Drosophila melanogaster: one gene and its partners. The protein of the gene in region 1 interacts with the protein of each later gene in a pairwise test. Each region holds a gene or a part of one and is shown in the gene's direction. Other genes may lie near its edges. The genes, in order: M1BP, CG7386, eco and Cfp1.

What was found.
Region 2: the proteins of M1BP (region 1) and CG7386 interact in a two-hybrid assay, tested with the Drosophila melanogaster proteins (one large-scale study listed by BioGRID).
Region 3: the proteins of M1BP (region 1) and eco interact in a two-hybrid assay, tested with the Drosophila melanogaster proteins (one large-scale study listed by BioGRID).
Region 4: the proteins of M1BP (region 1) and Cfp1 interact in a two-hybrid assay, tested with the Drosophila melanogaster proteins (one large-scale study listed by BioGRID).

The regions. Positions count from the first base shown.
Region 1 is NT_033777.3:8,729,238-8,733,344, reverse strand, and holds M1BP (motif 1 binding protein), read left to right. Parts: upstream 1-1,646; 5' UTR 1,647-1,762; coding exon 1,763-1,903; intron 1,904-1,971; coding exon 1,972-2,675; intron 2,676-2,732; coding exon 2,733-2,978; intron 2,979-3,243; coding exon 3,244-3,409; 3' UTR 3,410-3,555; downstream 3,556-4,107. Other genes in the region: CG8202 (uncharacterized protein), read right to left, coding at 1-579, 630-801, 862-975, 1,039-1,129, 1,196-1,212; ranshi, read left to right, coding at 3,685-3,804, 3,862-4,107.
Region 2 is NT_037436.4:6,187,897-6,192,575, forward strand, and holds CG7386 (uncharacterized protein), read left to right. Parts: upstream 1-1,848; 5' UTR 1,849-1,917; coding exon 1,918-3,228; intron 3,229-3,286; coding exon 3,287-3,964; 3' UTR 3,965-4,153; downstream 4,154-4,679. Other genes in the region: D19A, read right to left, coding at 1-76, 138-1,083; Sf3b6 (splicing factor 3b subunit 6), read right to left, coding at 4,585-4,679.
Region 3 is NT_037436.4:7,334,890-7,341,267, reverse strand, and holds eco (establishment of cohesion), read left to right. Parts: upstream 1-1,927; 5' UTR 1,928-1,958; exon of another isoform or gene 1,959-2,002; intron 2,003-2,022; 5' UTR 2,023-2,107; intron 2,108-2,226; 5' UTR 2,227-2,376; coding exon 2,377-5,330; intron 5,331-5,392; coding exon 5,393-5,597; 3' UTR 5,598-5,826; downstream 5,827-6,378. Other genes in the region: lark, read right to left, coding at 154-392, 498-1,199. UniProt on the Drosophila melanogaster protein: Acetyltransferase required for the establishment of sister chromatid cohesion and couple the processes of cohesion and DNA replication to ensure that only sister chromatids become paired together.
Region 4 is NC_004354.4:9,269,903-9,274,686, reverse strand, and holds Cfp1 (CXXC finger protein 1), read left to right. Parts: upstream 1-1,726; 5' UTR 1,727-1,797; coding exon 1,798-2,021; intron 2,022-2,083; coding exon 2,084-2,771; intron 2,772-2,832; coding exon 2,833-3,912; 3' UTR 3,913-4,253; downstream 4,254-4,784. Other genes in the region: aladin, read right to left, coding at 1-373, 431-715, 776-1,173. UniProt on the Drosophila melanogaster protein: Component of the SET1 complex that specifically di- and trimethylates 'Lys-4' of histone H3. Essential for Set1 association with chromatin and trimethylation of histone H3 at 'Lys-4' at transcription puffs.

The DNA.
Region 1 (4,107 bases):
GCACCAAGTAGCAGCGGGCATAGCTCGATACCAAAGGATCAGCTATACCCCTCAGTTGATGGGTCAAACGTTGCAAAATGCGCTCATACTCCTCGCGCGATGATGACAGGAACTCGTAGCACTTGAATATTGACAGCTCCAAGTAAAAACGCGGCAGTAACTCACGAATCGAGGCGATCTTATAAAACCAATTCTGGCACGTATCCCGGGCAGCTTCCCGTTCCCGCTCTAATGTGGCCGCCGATGCGGCAGGATCTCCAGAGGCCTTAGCACGCAGTCGTTCGTATACCAATTTTCCAAAAACATCCAGTATATCAGTGATAAGAACGTACTGACTCGGATAGAATTGCAGCACAGTGGTGTCCGCTAGCATTTTGGCACACTGTATGGCTATCTTCAACGCTTTTACTCGCTGATCGTTGTGCCAGGACTGGATCAGCTCCTGCTTGAGTTGCTCAAACCGCTGAATGTACTCCTGCTGAGTAAGATCCATCATGTGACGCATGCTGCCATCGTCGAAGTGGTCTAACTGCTCCAAGCGAAACTTTGTCTTGTCGGCCACCACCGTTTGTGCTTTAACTATGATTGTTGTTAATATATATCACAGATCAACCGACCACTGAACTTACTGCTTTCGTTGCCGCCATCCAGGCTACCAGATGACACCAGAAAGCTGGTAGACAGCGATAGCTTCTCATTGGTTGTAAAGCGGTTGAGGATGCCTAGTCGTCGGCTGCTCCACTGCAGTGTGTTGTCCTCGGGCTCCGTTCGGTCCCGTTCACGACGCTTCGACTTGAGATCCTGAACATCCAAGTGCGAAAAACTTAGTCATGTTCCTTGCCGGTGCACCACTCTACTTACGAATTCGCTGACCATTTGACTGAGCGGATCGTTGAGCTCATCATCTTGGCGTGCAAACTGCGAGAGCGGATCTGTGCCCTCTAGAGCTCGGCTCAAGGGATTGCTGTCCACCACCTGGTGGAGATTGTTCTTTCATTAAAATCACTTACAGATAAGGGCGTTGTACCATTTACCCACCGTCACCGTCCGCTGCTTTAGGGGATGCTCCAGCGTGGCCTGCCCAGTCAGGCAATTCTTCCGGACCTCGTAGCATCGCGGCACGCACACCCTGCAGTCAGGAGAAATGGTTATCAATGCTTATTTGTTTATTTTCGGGGGAAAATAAATAAATTACCATTCCAAGTTCGCCATAGCGTCGTGGTTGTTGTTGTCGGCATTCCTGACAGCTGCTTGCCAACATGACATGGACGTAGCCGGTCAGGGATGAAATACACCAAAGAAACTGTACTAATTCCAGGGACTTTAGCTTAGAACCTGTTCTACTGTATATATTTCGTTTCGCTTGCAGCTCTATAGAAATTAATTTATAAAAAAGATTTAATTTAAAGATTTAAATAAAAGATTTTATTTATAATTTTATAAATTTAAAATTATAAAACAAATTAATTCAAATTTATATGTGATATTATTGGAGTATAATAAATATGCAAATCCGTTAAATATCAAAGCAATATATAATACTAACGTTAACAAAGTAATTCATTTTCGAGGATATATATATATTTTGGCATCATATGAACCCCTTTGCCTACGCCACTGAAAATATGTTTATTTCGGGGCGAATGGCAAATATTAACACGAAACACCGGGTGAATGGCAAATGCAGTTGACAAGCGACGCGTTTATTTTTTGTGTTCACAAATATCTTAAAAACGATTTCATTTCGGATTGCGAATGAAAAATGTCGAAATCGGCGCTGAAACACCTAAAGAGCACCTGCCGCGTATGCGCAAAGTATGCAAGCAACAAGCGGTCGCCGAAGTTATTCGAGCGGAGCAACACAAAGATGATCGACAACATTGAGGCGCTCACAGGCCTTCGGGTAAATTTTTCACTGCGGCTTTATGGAATTTATGTAGTTATAGCTTAATTTATTGGTGTTTAATCTAGCTGGAGAACTACGGTTGCCTGCCGGATCAGATATGTGAATGCTGCAGCATGGAACTGGCCTCCGCCGTTAAGCTGAGGGAGCGCTGCATCGCCGCCCAGCGTGAGCTACTCTTGGGATTGACCGAGGAGCAACGCCAAGGCATCTCGGCCTTCTACCGGGCGGCTGTCATGGGCGAGGATATTGTCCAGACGGTGAAGACGCCCGACGATGATGAGGTCTATGCCACTTATCAGGAAATCGTATTGGAAGAACCTAAGGAAGAGATCGACGACACCAAGGTAGAGTACGATAATACCTACTACGAGGTGGCCGAGGGACACGCCGGCGAGGACGACGCAGCCTCCTTGATTGAAGAGGCCGACTATGATTCCATAATGGCCGAAGACGAAGAGCAGCAGCAAACGTTGGAGCTGGACGAAGACACCGAGCTAATTGTGGGCGACGTCAACGACGCGTACGTCTACGATTCGGATGATGAGGTGGCCGTTCTTGACAACGTGCTGGATGATGAGTACGAGCATGAAAACATTGTCGTCAAGAAGTGTAGTCTGCCGCCAAAGCCAAAGGTCCGGTCGGATGATGCGCGTCGTCGTGGCACCGGCGGAGTATACATCTGCGAGCAGTGCGGCAATCACATCAAGGGACGCATGGCCTTTGAACTTCACTGTCGTCGCCATCGTGGGGACAAGCAATTTGGCTGCGAGTGAGTACATTTCTACTCCTTTTTGGATACAGTATGACTAAATGGATTTATTTTCAGACTCTGTCAGTCGCGCTTCTGCACAACTTCCGAGCTGAAACGCCACATGCGCAAGCACACCGGAGAGCGACCGTTTGCATGTAAGTACTGTGGCCGCTGCTTCACAGACTACACCACGCGCGTGAAGCATGAGCGTACCCACACCAATGAGCGCCCCTACGTCTGTGGTACTTGCGGCAAGGCCTTCACTACCGGCTACATCCTTAAGAACCATATGCTGATACATTCCGGCGAGCGGGCCTACAGGTACGTTGAGTCATACAGCTACACAGTACCGGGAAACCCAATAACTAGGTTTCTTAGAAATTCTAAGATCATATTATGCGGCATTACAAGAGTTTTCCAAAACCTTATGAGAGTTAAGATAACTAAATATTACTTATGTTGCCAAATTTCGTGAGTAATATTTAGTTATCTTATAATAATTTCTTATAATAATATGAAACTAGTGATACTGGTACAGTTACTGAAATGTTTGAAATGCCATCTAATACTGAATCTTCCCCTCAAGGTGCGAGCTGTGCGACAAGTCCTTTATGCTGCCCACCCACCTGAGCACCCACTTCCGGTCTGGCGTACACAAGCGGCATCTGGAGAAAGCCGAGATGAAACAGGTCCTGGAGCAGGAGCAGAAACGTGAACTCAAGGAGGAGGAGGAGGACAGCCTGCACATCTAAAGCTGTCCTTATAATATATACATAGCAATTACAGGCAATGCTAGACCGACAATGGCGCACAGCCAAGGAGCATTTCTGCAAATAATTAACAAACCAATTGTAATATGTAGAACTTAATATTGAATAATAAATCAAAACTTCAAATCCCAACTTATGAGCATTTATTTCATCTGTAAAAATTGCTTCCATGCGAATGGCAAACGGAACAGCTGATTGACAAGCATAGCATTGTTTACAAAAAGTTTGGCGTTTCAAACTTTTTTATCGGCTCAAAAATGGAAGGAAAAGTGTGTCGCACTTGCGGCAAGCGCACGAATGCTGAAAGATCATTGAATATTTTTGAAAAGCGCAATCAAACTACGCTGGAACACATCAAACTACTAACTGGAGCTGTGGTGAGAGGATAATAATGCGTAGTGTCTTTAACTTTCTAAAGTTTTTTCTCTTTACAGTTAAAGAACTGTAGTACGTTGCCAAATCGACTATGTGCGTCCTGCCAAACTTGTTTGCAACAAGCCATATCCTTTAGGGAACGCTGTTTGGAAGTCCAAAGGGAGTTGCTCCATTCCCAAGATGATGAAGACTTCCTTAGAATCTGCCAGGAATCTCCCAAAAGTGTCCTTGAGCAGGAGGAGTTGGAACTGGATCTGGCAGAAATAAGCATAGAAGTCGAGCGATTAGACGATCTCAATGAAGGG
Region 2 (4,679 bases), on another chromosome or scaffold:
ATGCAGGCGTGAACCTCGGACAGCTCTGTGTGGGCGTGGTCGATGTGAATGCGCAGCCCATTGGCGGTAGTGAAACCTGTAAGGTGGGATTTCATAGAGATCGGATACTTATATTTATACTTAAGCCAGCGTTATACCTTTCTTGCAGGTCTCCACCTTGCATTGGAAGGGCAGCAGGTCGTTGTGGTACTTCATGTGCTCCTCGTAGCGGATGGCCTTCTTGAACTTCTGGTGGCAAATGTGGCAGTCGATGATGCGGTGCAGGTGGCGTTCCTCGATGGGAATGCGCTTCCTCTTCGGCTTGTCGCCCCGCGATGTGCCGTCTTCGGAGTCATCTGATTCGGAGGATGAGTCGCTCAACTCCTCCTCCTCTGGCGGAGGCGGTTTTATCTTTTTGGGCCGTCCCCGGGGCCTCGGCTTGGGTTTGTCTAGGTTGCTAAAACGGTCCTGCTGGGGTCCTGATCCGGTAGCTGGTCCCCTCATGCGCTGGGCCAGCGGAATGTCATCATCGCTGCTATTTGGCTCGAAGTCCAGATCGTGGTCGTTGTCATTGCCGCTCTCGATGGACGAATCGTCGTCGAACATCTTGACGGAAACGTTGCCCCCGTCATCCTCCTCCACCTTGGCCTCCTTCTCCACCTCCTCGGCCTCCTTGTCGACGTGCTCCAGCATCTTGAAGACATCCTCCTCGTTCTCGATTAGCTCCATCTTGTGGTTCAGCAGCGGGTCATAGTTGACGTGGTCCTCTTCCTCGGCCGGGTAGTCCTGCACGGCAACGTTGGGATCGAAGACGTCGAAGCTGCTCTGGCAGGCAAAGACATTGCTGGCCACCAGATCCTGGAACTTTTGCACGGAATCGACGCACTGTTTCTGAAAGTCGTGCAGCTCGTTCAGCTTGGTGTAGCACAGGGTGCACAGGTTCTTCGGGAATCCGTCGTTTTGCTCCACGGACAGGGATGTGCAGAAGCATAGCTTCTTCGAAAGTCCTGGAACCAGATACAAATCGTAGGCGGCGTCGTTCTGCAGGTGGTTCAGACAGATCCTGCACAGGCTGTGGATCGAGTACTGCCTGCCCTCGTTCATCTTGCTTTCAATCGCAATCGGCACTGCGGATCGGGGCGGTTTTCTATAGCTTTTTGCGTCTCTCTCCGGTCAGTAAGCAATAAAATAATATTGACACAGAAAAAATTGTATACTCGTCGACTGGCAATCGGGCGAGTGGGCAATAAGCAAGTACTTCTGCCAGCGAGTTACTCGTCCGAGTGCGTAGTTGTTTTGCGTTTCAGGGCTGGACAATCAATGTTTTTTCTTACCTTCTTATTTGCAATTCTAATTAGGTTGCAATATACAAAAAAAAAAAATATATATATATACAACTAATTTAATTAAATAGATATTGCTTGTATACTTCAAATAGTATTTCAGGGTTTTTTAAAAATATTTTGCAAACTGAGCACCATAGTAACAAAAACGAAACTGAACTTACAATATATAGATAATGGTATGTATATATAGAAAAAATATAAAACAAATTTTTTTGTATTAGTATGTATATATAAACATGTAAAACAAATTGCTTTTAATAATAAGCAACGACATTTGAAAATATACAAACTGGGCATCAAGAAAATTTGATACGAAAATGAACGTACAAGATTTCTGTATCGAAATAAAGTCAAAAATAAATAATAAATAAATGTATTTTAACTAGACGCATGCATGGTCTTGCTAAAAAGCACTTACATTAAAACAAGTTAATATAAAAATAAGAATCCAAGTATGCTGTTTACTTGCCACCCCACTACACCGTAATGGGTTAATGGCATAGCGAAACGGTCAGACTGCCTGTCACACTGGAACAAATTTGTTTAGAAGCTTCGATTGTTATCTGCCCGAGAATTGAGGGAAATGGGCACTATGGAGCTCAAGTACTCCGTCCAATCGCTTTGTCTCACCTGCCTTGTCCACCTGAAGCATGGTGCTGGACACGATCTCTTCGTGGTTCCAGATCTGTTCCAGAAGCTCAGGGCGTGCACTTCGTTTGATGCGGATCAAAACGACGGTTTCCCGAGAAACCTGTGCACCCAATGTTTCACCAAGCTGAACGACCTGCATGACTTCCGCGAACTGTGCGCAGAATCTATTAAACGTCTAAAGGAAATGATGACCAGCCAGAGGAATATGCCCATGGGTGTATTCGAATCTATAGCTGATGATTCTGAGGCACCTGAAAGGCCAGAGGAGCCGGCCAGTTTCGATCCGCTGCTGAATAACAAACTAGAGATGATTGACAACGAGGAGGATGTGTTCAAGTTGCTGGAAAAAGTTGACAAGGAACTAGAGGAGCATTCAAGGGACCAAAGCGAGGAGCACTTCTCCAGTGCAGAGCACAACGGACTGGAGGAGGAGAAAAAGGAGTCGGAAGGGTTCAACAGCGACGATGAGCAGGCCATGGGGCAGCGACGGATTGCGAACGACAAGCGTAAACTGTTTCGCCTTATGAGCTGTTCCATCTGCCAGCAAAAGTTCAAAAAGCAATCAAAGTTCGAGGAGCACATGAAGCACCACAATGACCTGTTGCCGTTTCAGTGTCAGGAGGAAAGCTGCCGAAAGGGCTTCACCACAGCCGGTGCACTGCGTTTGCACGTGGACTATGCGCACTCCAAGAAGGAGGATACGGTTCCCTGCACCGTGGAGGGCTGTCAATTGGTTTTTTCCCGTCTCCGGCTGCTGACCATTCACTTGAAAAAGGTTCACAACCAGGCGAGGGTTATTGCTCCGCGGGGTGAACAGTCTTGCAAGGAATGCGGCGTGGTGTTTCGTTGCCCGGTGGCTATGAAGAAGCACATGTACACGCACACGGGCGAAGAGCTTCCCTATCCGTGTACCATTTGCGGCAAGGGCTTTTACATCAATAGTGCCCTAAAGAATCATCTTCTCCGGCATGCTGGCATCAAGAACTACGTGTGTCAGTACTGCGGAGTGCGAAAGACCACCCGCCAGGAATGGAGTAAGCACATTCTGATCCACACCCAACGGAACCAGTTTAAGTGCCGCATCTGCGACTATGCCACCCACACGAAGCGGGTGCTAGAGAGCCATGTTAAGATCGTACATGAGAAAATCCGGAATTTTGCTTGCCAGTACTGTGGAAAGACGTTCGGGAAAGCATACGCCTGCAAAATACACGAGATGGCGCACACTGGTGAGAAGCGCTGCGAATGCAAGGTAAGGGAATTACCATTATACCCTTGTTACCAAAGTCTGATATATTTTCGCCTTGCAGGTTTGTGACAAAAAGTTCCTGCATTCGGAGAGTCTCAACAATCATCTGAAGATTCATGAGAAGAGCGTGGAAAGGGCTCTGGAAACTTATAAACAGGTGCAAGTAAATGGCGATGCCAGTGACACTCAAGTGGACTCACATCAGCTGCTGAAGGTTTACGCCGAATCCGTAGCCAGCATTCCTAAGAATCCCCGCCGCGTAGAGCAAGTTGATGTGGCCCTATTGGCAGGGACCGCAGTGAATCCCACAGACGAGATTCAGTTTGTGCAAAAGGAGGGTATGTACTTGTGTCCCAGCTGCAGTCAGGGATTCAAGAGCATAGGCAACATGAAGCGCCACTACAAGAGCGTCCACGAAAAAGTCAAGGACTTTGAGTGCCGTTTCTGCTCCCGTCGCTTTGCCAACTCGCAATCCGTGAAGCAACACGAGTGGATACACACTGGCGAAAAGCCCTTCGAGTGTAAGACGTGTGGCAATCGCTTTCGCCAGGTAGCGGCGCTCATCCGACACCAAAAAGTCCATGACGAAAAGCCGGCGAAGCCTCTGGGGGAGAGAAATGACCGTAAACAAAAGGTTGAGGCACTACGGCAGGAAATTGCGAAGGTCGCCAAGAAGGAGCTCAAGGATTTGAAGAACCAACTGGCACTGGAGAAGCAGCAAGACACATACGAAAAGTAATAGGCAGCGGCAGCTAGCCAAACTGGTCCTGACCTTAAGGAGGAACCCTAATCGCAGAATAGTTTACGATTACATAGGGCAAAAGACTTCCCATAATAGTGGGAATTTTTATTGTTGGTTAATATTTAACTATTACTTGTTATCCTATTTCTAAGTTGTTAAATAAACTTGACCCAAATGACACACTTTAGAATAACTACAAATGGTTTTGGACTAAAACTAGTTTTAAAAAAAATTGGTCATAAATCGAAACAAACGATTCTAGTTTTTCAATTTTTTTTTATTTTTACTTTCACTTGCTTGTTATTTTGATGAGAGAGTGTCTTAATGTCGTCAAATGATTGCAAACAGTCGGAACCGGGCGCAAATGTCTGCGTTCCGCGATATCCGGCCGTTTATATGATAGATGGAGTGATGGATGGATGATAATGATTAGATTCAAATGATACAAAATGCGATCAAAAAAATCTACAAGTAGATAGCAAAAATTTGGTATACACATAAGCAGAGCAAGAAGTTCCCTAAACAATGGAAAATGGTCGATGGAAGTGGGGGCGTCATCTGGTGGGGCCCAATGTCTGGCTATGCCCCATCACCGCCTGCCGCACCAAGTGTGGGTTCTAAGGAGCTTCAGGCGTCTTCAGATTGTACTTGGCCTTAATGTTGTTCAGTTCCTCCTGTTTCTTGTCCATGTCCACGCGCTTGAAGGCCTTGT
Region 3 (6,378 bases), on another chromosome or scaffold:
CATTTTATAATTTCATCATATAAGCAAAGCACTATCTAGGTCTTAATATGTAAGTAAGTATGGAAAACGTAGTCATCTGATAAGAATTAACTTTAGTACACACATATTTGGAAAAGAAAGTGCGACATTTCATCCACTTGCAGGGTTACCTACCCGTAGCGACTCATTCCATTGCTGCTACGCGGCGGCGGAGGCGAGCGCCGGCTGAACATAGTGTCGTATCCACGAGAAACGCTGCAGGAGCGCAGGCTGCCGCTTAAGGTGGGCGGTAGAGGCATGGGTTCGCGGCGAGAGATGGGCGGCGGTGGGAAGTCGCGCATTCGCGAGGTCTGATAGCGACGCTCATACAGATCGCGTGAGTCCTCGAAGCGGCGGTCATAGTAGTCATAGTCCTGCGGGCGGGAAAACAAGATTTAGATTAGTAGCAGCACAGAATGTGAATAATACTTGGCACAATGGATGATTTGATCGGGGGGGCAAATGGATGCTGAATTTACCCTAAAGCCATCCATGATGCGGTCACGCAGGAACGGCGGCGGCGGTGGTGGCGGCGGATACGGGTCACGACCGTACATGCGATCTCTGTAGCCGCCGGCGCTGAGGGGCGATGGCGGCTCGCGTCCGCCTCCGGCACTGCCGTACAGTCGCGGACACTCTTTCGACCAATGCCCGGATCTTCCGCACCGATAGCACTGCTCCGGATCGCCCATGCCCGGCTTGGGGCGGACCCGACTGGTCGACACTTGAACCTTGAGCGGCTGGCCATCGACAACGCGACCGTTCAGCTCCTTAATGGCGTCCTGCACATCACCGACACAGTCCAGATGGACAAAACCATAGTTGCGCACAATGTCGCATTCGACGACGGTGCCGTATTTCTGAAACAGTTCCCGCACCTCCGGCGCCCGCGTCTTGTCCGTTAGATTTCCCACGAAGATTTTCGTGGTCGGCGTATTGGGCGCCCGCCGGCTCTTGGCCGCCTCCACCTTGATGGCGAACTCGTTCAGCGTATAACCGTTCAGATTCTGTATGGCATCGCGACCCTGCTGCTCCGTCTCCATGTGAACGAAGCCATAGTTCTTCACCACGTCGCACTCGACGACGGTACCGTACTTCTCGAACAGTGCACGCAGCTCGGTGGCCTGTGTCTTCTCGTCAAGATTCCCGATGAATAACTTGAACGTGCCGGCTCCGGGCATGGCGGCAGCGGGTTCCGCTGCGTGGTCGTCCACGGTTATATCGTTTATATCACTCTGGGTGGGGTAATCCCGGAAAATGGATATCTACGCGGCGGCGGCGGCGGCGGCTGCGTCGAAAATATATTTATATATATTTGCCTATATGTTTGTATGTATATACCGCGGTTGGAGGACGACAACGGCGACGAACAAACGCGATACCTCAAGAGAAGAGAGAAGACAGTGCAATTGTTTTCTATTTTAACCAATACGAGCAAAGGATAAACATTAAGGCAGCAGCACAAGGAGCGCGAGTAATCTTAATAAACTCGGTTTTAAATCGCATTATTGGCGTTGTGGCCTAACGCATACATAAAAAAAGATGGCGGCGGCTAGAGTTCACATTTTCTCACGGTTCTCGTTGGCGTGGCTTTCAAATGGCGGTACGGATAATGTGGGGGAGCTAACTTACCTGATCGGCAGCGGGCTTTGGCTGCAAATTAAATTATAAACGCAGAGCTTTATACTTTCTACTTTCCAGGCCGAGCAGCAGATTTTTCCAAATCGATTCGCACTTCGTCCGCAATATGACCGTGTGACGTCTGGAAGAGTGTGACTGAGTCTGACTTGGGTGGAAATACCAGATAGAGTTTTCCCGTTATATGATCACCTTAGCTCTGTAAAAATACCGGATAGTTAAAATAATACGGAAATCTTTAAAATATATGAAGATTAGAAAACATAGAATGTCTAGCGATCATGATCGTAACTCGTTAAGTGGTACTATATTGAATACTTTGTCTTGGATCAAGAATATAATTAACATTACTTATTTATTTTACAGAAATCGTAGAATAAGTCCAAATAATTTACGAAAAACTGCAAGCTGACTTGATCGCTTCGAAGAAAAATGTTAAATGTAAAATGTGGTAAAAAAATTATAACTAACAGAAAATATTTACATTGCAATGTATTTGATTTTTATAAACATTGATGTAAAAAAAATTTAAAAACAATGTAATGCATTTAATATATATAAACATTGCAGTAAAAACATAGACGATCTGGCATGTGTTGGCAAACGACCGAAGAGACCCTGAACGATCCAACCACCCCCAACACTAGGCAGCTACAAAAAAGCGCGAAGGAGTCACAATTTGGACAAAGTTAATGCGAAATAAAAGATTTGCGCGCGATCATGGAGACCCCGACGGGTAGTGGGCGTCCCAGTCGCATGGCCACTCCGCGCCTTTCGGAGCGCAAGCGGCAACTGTTTGGCAGTCCCAGATCCAGGCTGCGCCAAATCAACGACGACGAGGATGATGCGGACGTAGACAGTCTGGGTGTCTTGCCATTAAAGACCCATGTGGCGGCCAACAGGAAGGGCAGGAGTCTCTTCGCCGCAGTCCCCGGCAAGTCAAGCAGCAGTGCGAACAGCAGCCCGGAAACCAACAAGGAGAACAAAAAAACCCGTGGCGGAGTCATGACTGCCACGGCGGAGCAGCTGCCCCAATTGTTTACAGCCACCATGCGGCTAAATAGCAACAGCAGCAGCAATAGTCGCAACAGCAGCCCCCGTCAGACGAGGGTCCAAAGAAAGCGAGCGGATTCTTCAATGTCGTCGCCCACCTCTTCCTCTGAAGGAACTCCTTCTTCCAGAGCCAGAAATAGCATCAGACGCAGTCCACGAACCTTCAGTGCGCAAAAGGATCCAGATGCGTTCTCCTCGCCAGAATCTTTTCAGACTAGGCTAAGCAAGGTGGCAGCTATGCTAATGAAGGGTCAGGATTCAAGATCAATGTTAGAAAAATCAAAGAAGAAACACAACCACAGCCTAAAGACCACTGCCCAAGTGCATACAACTAAACCGAAGAAAACGAGCCCAGCTGAAGAGTCCCAGTCGGACGACGAGAAACCTTCTAGCAGTAAGAACTCCAGGAAGAATACAGAAGTTCGTGAAACAAGGAGCTCGCAAATCATCAGTCCAAAAACCAGGAATAGGCGAAGACCCTTCACGTCGGCGGATATAAACTGCAAGACGCTGAAGGCTGCTGCCCATCTACATGAGAACATGAGGTCGTATGATGAAGAAAAAACAGCAGCAGTTAAGCTAGAAAACAGCAGAAGCAGATCCAAGTCCCCGGTAGAAGTGTTCAAGTCAAATGACGATGCAGTAAAACGAAACACAGGAAACACCAACAATAAAACAGCGAAATCTTCCGAAGTTGCCACAGCAAAAAGGCCAGAAAGCCCAGGAAGTAGTATGAAGATTGATGTCGAAGTGCCCGAATCGGACGAAGAAGCATCCAATCATAAGCCTCAAAAGCGACAGCACCCAGAAACGTCCACCCCGGTTGCTCCTTCAGCGGACGCCGACTCTGGTTCGCCGCAGAGCAAGATGCGCAAGGTGACGCTGAGCAGCAGCATTCCCACCATGGCCTTCTATTCCCACAGTGGAGAAGCGGTCACAAAGTCAAGAAGGCGGCCGTCCATATCCAAGAATTCGCTTAAACAACCAACGAAAATCTCGCCAACCTCCCGTCCACTATTGGGCATTAATAAGGGAGTTCACCACAAAATACGCAAGCGTCACGGTTTTGCCAACCGACTGCCAGCCACCGATATGGACAACATTCTCAACTCGCTGAGCAACGAACGGCTCAAGAACCTGATCACCACCAAGCGTGAAGAGCGCGCCAAAGTGGAGGAAGTCCACCAGATTCTCCGTAATGCCAAGGACCCGATCAAAATGGCCAAACCATTGAGTGTGATTGAAGCCGACGATGCTAACAACAATAACAATCTGCCAGCAACCGCATGGCAAGAAACTTCCGCCGATTTCTCCGATCTTAGTGATGTCGAAGACATTGATCCCATCATCGAGGTGGAGCCTATCATACCAATAATTCGCCACGAGCCGGTCCAGAAATCCCCAACCGCCGAGCCAGCCGATCTAAGCAAACGAAAGTTCTTCAAATCGGGCCGCCGTAGTAGCACCTGCATGGAGGTGAGAATCACGGACAACATCCGGGCCAGCGTCAGCCAGGGCAAGATTGAACTCGTCCAAACGATACGCCGTAAGCCGCGGCAAGTGCGCGTCAAGTCGGCCACGATATTTTCCGCCGAGCAGGCGACTGTGGATGCGATCCTAAAGAATCTGGACGATACGGTGGTTGATGAGATTGTAGAAGCGAATCCGGTGGTACAGGCAACGCCCATTGATGCGGAGGAGACGACCATGGAAACGGAGTCGCTACCGGATATAATTGAGTATGCCCCAGAGGCGAACGATGTGGAAATTGATCCCTTTGCTGAGTTCCGTCAACGTTTGCCATACCAAACCGATGATCCCAATGTCGTGGAGCAACAGCAAATTTTACTAGAGTTTCTCATTAGCAACAATATTTGCACCGAAAAGAACTTTGAGATATTTATTGCAAATCCGGATGACTACAAGGACGAGGCCAATCAAATTGTGGACAATTTATACATGGTGGTGAACAGCGAGGAGGCTGCGCAGCTTGCTCAGATGGAAACAGTGGAAAATACAGCGGTGGCCATTGCACCAAAACAGGATGCGCCAGCAGTAGAGGAAGTTCAGCCAAAGCTTTTCCCCATATTCACTCAACGCTTACAGCCCGTTGTCCAGAAATCGTTGCGGCGTCGGCCGGATACATCGATGAGATTGCTAACGGCGGCGGGTGGATCGAATCAGTACCAGATCGATGCTGGTCAAAAGGCCTTCGGAGCACGGCAGTGCCAGCAGTGCGGATTGGTGTACACCGTGCACGAGCCGGAGGAGGAGCTGCTTCATCGCGAGTACCACAATTCCATCCATGTGCTGCGCTTCAAGGGCTGGATCGACGAGGACATTGTGTCCGTTTATCCAGAATGGGCCAGCGACGGGCGCATCATACGGATCAACGAACGCGCTCCGACAGCTCGGCTCGACAGACTGCGGGATCTCATTGGTGTGGTGGACAAAGAGCTGGGCTATTCCTCGTACATTGTGCCAAAGATCTTTGTAGCCTTCATAGCAGTGCGCAAGCAGCAGATCGTAGGCTTCTGCCTGGTGCAGCCCCTCTCGCAGGCCCATCGTTTCATCCAGGTCGATGGCACGGACTACTTCAGCGAGGAAAGCTACCCGGCCAGGTAAGACATCCCCTACTGCATGCCCCTTCCCTTGTCAACGGCTAAAATGTGCCTTCTTTCAGCTGCGGCGTCTCACGCATCTGGGTTTCTCCGCTGCAGCGACGCAGCGGGATCGCCAGCAAGCTGCTGCGAGTCGTCCAGTGCCACACGGTGCTCGGTCAAGAGATCGCTAGGGAGTGCATTGCCTTCAGTACGCCCACCGACGATGGTCGGGCTCTGGCACGCCAGTTCACCGGGTTGGATAACTTCCTCACCTACGACCAGTGATCGGGGAAATCTATTGAAGCTATTGAATAGCTGGATTGTTTTTGAGTTAGGATTGCTTCGAAACCTGTAATAGTTGATAAGCAAGTGCGATTATGTTACTAGCGGCACGAAGACGCGCAATTTAACATGTTTACAATGGTGGTTTAATATGCCTGTTTTTACGCAATGAACACGATATTTTCTTCGAGTCGCATTAATTTTGAAAATATAGATTAATATTGTTTATCTTACGTGTCGGGTTTTAAAACATGTAAATTTGGTGTTACAAAAATAGCACATACGTTAATTTTTAAATTGTATGTTTATAAACATTGTTTAATATATTTAAATTCTAACAAATAACTTAATGTCTAAATGTATGCAGTAAAAAATTTACACAACCTGCACTTGCGATCGATGAATGGTTATCGATCGCTTGCAACCATGCGGCGAGTCCACAAAGTGCCATCACTAGCACACTGAGCCTGGCTTTTGGGCGTTGTTTTCGTAGCAGCAAAGTGGCTGAAATTAATAACATTTAAGAGCAGAAGTGTGTAACACACCTGAATGGGACTTGTGCCAATCTCAGTGACCACCAATCGCGCGCAAATGGTAAGTGCAATCCGCATATAAGCTGCTAAGTGGGGAGCTGCTGGTGCTGCTAGTTAGTTTACTTTGGTGACGCCACGCCCAATGTGACAAATTGGAATCGGTGGCAATTGGTTTCGGGGTGCAAGTGGCATGCAGCGTGGTGGTTGAACCGCTTTCTCACTCTTCTTCCCCTGCCCTCCAGACCATTGAG
Region 4 (4,784 bases), on another chromosome or scaffold:
TAGCAGACTCTGTTGCACGAACTGCAGGCGGTAGAGAATCGGTTCGGCACTGCTGACGAAGAGCAGGAAGCGACCGCAGGGCGACCAACAGGCTGTTTGGACATAGCCTCCGGGACCGCACACCCATCGCTCGGTGGTCCATTGCTGGTGGCAGTTCCACACGCGGAACACCCGATCCACGGTGGCTGCGAACAGCCAGTCATTATCCGGCGACCACTTCAGCAGCGAGCCCGGCGGACCCAAACGCTTGAGTGGCTGCATCATTCCGGTGTCCGGCTGCCAGATAATAATGGAACGATCTCCTATTGAGGCGGTGGCCAACTGGGTGCCATCCTTGTTCCACTGCATCGAGGTTATTGGCAGATTGTTTGGGCTAAAAGGGAAAATAAGTTATGTATTTACCAACTAACGATAAATTTTCTATACTGACTATTTAAAAATCTCGCTGGGTGCATTTGTGCGTCCCAAATGCAAAGTGCTGTCCACTTCCCAGAAACACAGACCCTGCCGACAACCTATCACGATCTCGGAAGCGCAGAGTGGACGCCACGCCATGCAGGTGATCTGCGTTTGGGATGGACTCTTTAAAACAGTGGCAGTGGTCGCACTGGAACTCTTTGTGTAGATGCGCACCACATCGTCTACACCGGCTACGGCTAAGCAAAAGAAGTGCTGATTCCAGGCAAGATAGCGCACATCGCTGTTGAGCCAATCCCTGAATGAATGGGACAGTAAGGTTTAGGTATTATTGGTCAGTTGGCTGCGCCCCACCCACCTGGTCTCCACGAACTGAGCAATACGCTCTGCACTAAGCTGCTGGGTGTGCGGGAGGATCCTCAGGCCGGTGGCCAGGCCCAGAAATTGTGCGATTAAATCACCCGCCTGGGCAATAAGCGGCGCCTGCTCCCTGGTCTCTGGGCTGCGTGCCTCCTCCAGCGTCTTCCAGAATCCGCCATTAAAGAAGCTGCGAGCTATGCGCTTTAGGACACCCTCATTCACAGATACGAAGCTCTGTCCGCCGTAGTACCGCTGACCAGCCGGATTGGCCAGAAGTTCGCTGTTCAGGTTTATCTGCGGATAGCGTTCCAGCTCTGGGATGTGATTGTGCCGCAGCGCCAGATCCGGCAGCGTGGAGAACGGCGGACACTGTTTTAGGTTGCTCAGGGCCGCCATAATTGCAGACTATTCACATTCAATTCAGTTCAGTTGAGAAAAAATGGTAACGAAATACAAAGAAAAAACCGCGCGGTTATTAGAGGTGAGAAAAAGCCGACAATGTCAGTGGTAATTCGATGCTTAATTTTTCTATCGATGTTTAATTTTACGAAACTTCGAAAATACTGGGCCGCGGCAAAATCTTAAAGATTATCGAAAAATAAAAATTAGGTATATATAAAGTAACAATCTTTTGTAGGTTTTATATTCACGTTGTTTCTCTTTCAAGAACTCTATTTAATCTCATAGATCTCGAACACACTATCGTTTGTTATTAAGACTATGGAATTAGTTCTCTCGATATAAGTGTTACGAAGCATTTTATATTTATACACAGCTTACAATAAATACCTAAAATTGTTTTTATTGTATAGTCATACATCAATTAAAATCTACAACGTAGTTTTATGCTAAATATTATATATTTTATTAGGCCAGAACCTATCGATTGTCTGCAATACATTATTAGTAGGCTATCGATATCCTTTCATTCACCATCTCCATCGCAAAAAAAAATTCCATGAAACTTAATTGACGGATTTGGATTTGGACTGGATTTGTTGTCGGAAAGATTGCTGCGAGATGACGGACAAGCGCAAATATAAGAAGACCGTAAGTTTCACCCGCTGCACGGCAATCATATTTTTAACTACAAAGGAGGTTTCCAAACAGAAAGAGGAAATCAGGCGGGAGATCGCACGGGAATTTGATTTGCCTGAGCGCAAGTCCAAGATAGCCACCATTCTAAAGCAGGAAGACCAAGCGTACTGCATATGCCGCTCCTCCGACTGCTCCAGGTTCATGATGTGAGTTGAATGGCCTTAAAGGGCTAGATCCCGGCTAACTACTTGTACCCTTCGCTTTCCAGAGGCTGCGATGGTTGCGAGGAGTGGTACCACGGCGACTGTATAGGGATCACCGAGAAGGAGGCTAAACACATCAAACAGTACTACTGCCGGCGCTGCAAAAAGGAGAATCCCGAACTACAAACCATATTCCGCCTGGTGGCCACCGAACGGGCAGCCGCATCGAACGCCGCCTCTACAAGTCTCAATGCCCCGGGCGTAGGTCCATCGGGAGCTGCGCCTGCTGCTGCACCGGTGGCGTCCGCAACAACCAGCCAGCAAGCGCCGCCACCGACCACTGCGGCAGCGAAGCGCAAAAACAGCAGCGCCCGAGAACCAAAGATGGGCAAACGTTGTGGTACCTGTGAGGGATGCCGGCGTCCCAATTGCAACCAGTGCGACGCGTGCCGCGTTCGCGTGGGCCACAAGCCGCGCTGCATATTCCGCACCTGCGTTGTCCAGGCGGCGACGGTCTTAAAGGAGTCGCAGGCAACTCAAGCCGGCCCAAGTAGGAAGCGGGAAAAGGCGGCACCCAAGAGTCGCAATGTCCAAGTGGGCCCGCGGGCGGCCAGTCCGGAGATATTCCTCAATCCGGAGCTACAAGGCATCCGGCAGTGCTACGGACCCAATTGCTGCTCCCATGCGAGACCGCAGAGCAAGTACTGCAGCGATAAGTGTGGCTTCAATCTGGCCACAAAACGCATCTTCCAGGTTAGTTTCATTTTTTGGCCAGACTATGACAATTAAACACCAAAGTCCTTTACACTCTCAGGTTCTGCCGCAACGACTGCAAGAGTGGAATCTAACGCCCAGCCGCGCCGCCGAGGAAACACGCAAGCATCTTGATAACATTCGTCATAAGCAGTCCCTGGTGCGTTTCGCACTTGCCGAGCTAGAGAAGCGCTCCGAAGAGCTCAACATGGTGGTGGAGCGAGCCAAACGAAGCTCCATTGATACATTGGGGTCACAAGACACCGCCGACATGGAGGACGAACAGAGCATGTACTGCATCACCTGTGGCCACGAGATTCACTCGCGCACTGCCATCAAGCATATGGAGAAGTGCTTCAACAAATACGAATCGCAGGCCAGCTTCGGGAGCATATTCAAAACGCGAATGGAGGGAAACAATATGTTTTGTGATTTCTACAATCCGGCAAGTAAGACTTACTGTAAGCGATTGAGAGTATTGTGTCCGGAGCACAGCAAGGATCCGAAGGTGAACGATACGGATGTGTGTGGTTCGCCCTTAGTGAACAACGTCTTCAATCCCACGGGCGAGTTTTGTCGTGCGCCAAAGAAGAATTGCTTCAAGCACTACGCCTGGGAGAAGATCCGGCGTGCTGAGATAGATCTGGAGCGTGTGCGTCAATGGCTCAAGATGGACGACCTGATGGAGCAGGAGCGCGTGATGCGGCAGCAGCTCACCTCGCGAGCGAACCTGCTCGGCCTGATGCTGCACTCCACCTACAACCACGAGGTGATGGACGAGCTGGTGCGCAAACAGCAGGAGCATCTGGTAGAGTTCGAGAAGCAGAGGCGACGCCTGGCTCACCAGCAACAAATACAAACACAGCAGAAACAGTACCAGGAAAAGCAGAAGCTAATGTTGCAGCAACAACAGCAACAGCAACAACAGCAGCAGCAACAACAACAGCAGCAACAACAGCAGCAGCTGCAACAACCACAGCAGCAGCAACAACAGCAGCAGCAACAACAGCAGGAGCAACAGCAACTGCAATTGAAGCCACATCATCTGCAGCAACTTCAACTTCAACTGTTGCAGCAGCAGCAAAAGAAGGCCCAAATACCACAGAAAACTCAAATTATATACCTGCAGAAAAAAACATAGATTTGTAGTCCCCTAATCATAGCAAGAACTAACAATAAACTGACGTCCAAGAAATATTTTTCTACGACAGTAATCTTTGGACTTACCCGACGCAAAGTTTCTAGTGTCGCCTTTCTCCTGGCAACCGCATAACACGCTCGCCAGCTGTTGGGTCCGCTTCCCGGCCAGTAGTAGGTTGCTACGCGCCGGGATCGGCGGTACGCCCATGTTTGTTATTGAAAACTAAGCATCAAATATGCATTTATTGATAGCAACATGCTATTAATACATTAGGCCAGCTCAACCGTGGATATCATTCACATGGATTACATTAGCACACACCTTAATATTAGTTTATTAGCTGGATTCAAGTTATTTATAATTTCTATATACGATTTGTTTTCTGTTCATTGTTAGTTTGTATTTAGAAATAATCTAGAAAATAAGTTAGCATATTAAATACATTTTCTTAAGCTGTAGGCTTTTTTTAATAATGCAGGTTAATATTACTGCATTAAACAAAGTCATGAAAAAAAGAATACTCTACGCTCAACATATTTTGAAGATCATATAGACATAGGCCACCGAGTCCGGGTTTTGATATCCGAAACAATGGTTCCGGGTAAATGAAGAGCGGGGGGCAACCATTGGAAACGGCAGGACCTTGAAAACGATGGAGGCTATGGATTAGAGTGGGCATGCTGTAGTTGGGAGCCAAAAGGAATGTCAGGACGCACAAGTGCAGTGGAAATTTCAAGCGAGTCTGAACGAATCCGGCTACCCGGGCAATCAAGTAGTCGTGGCGATTTGTGACTGTTCCCCCAGACGAACTGTCAAAAATGCCAGTCGTTGTCCGGAACTTTTCTACATCACACACGACCTGCTGATTCAAA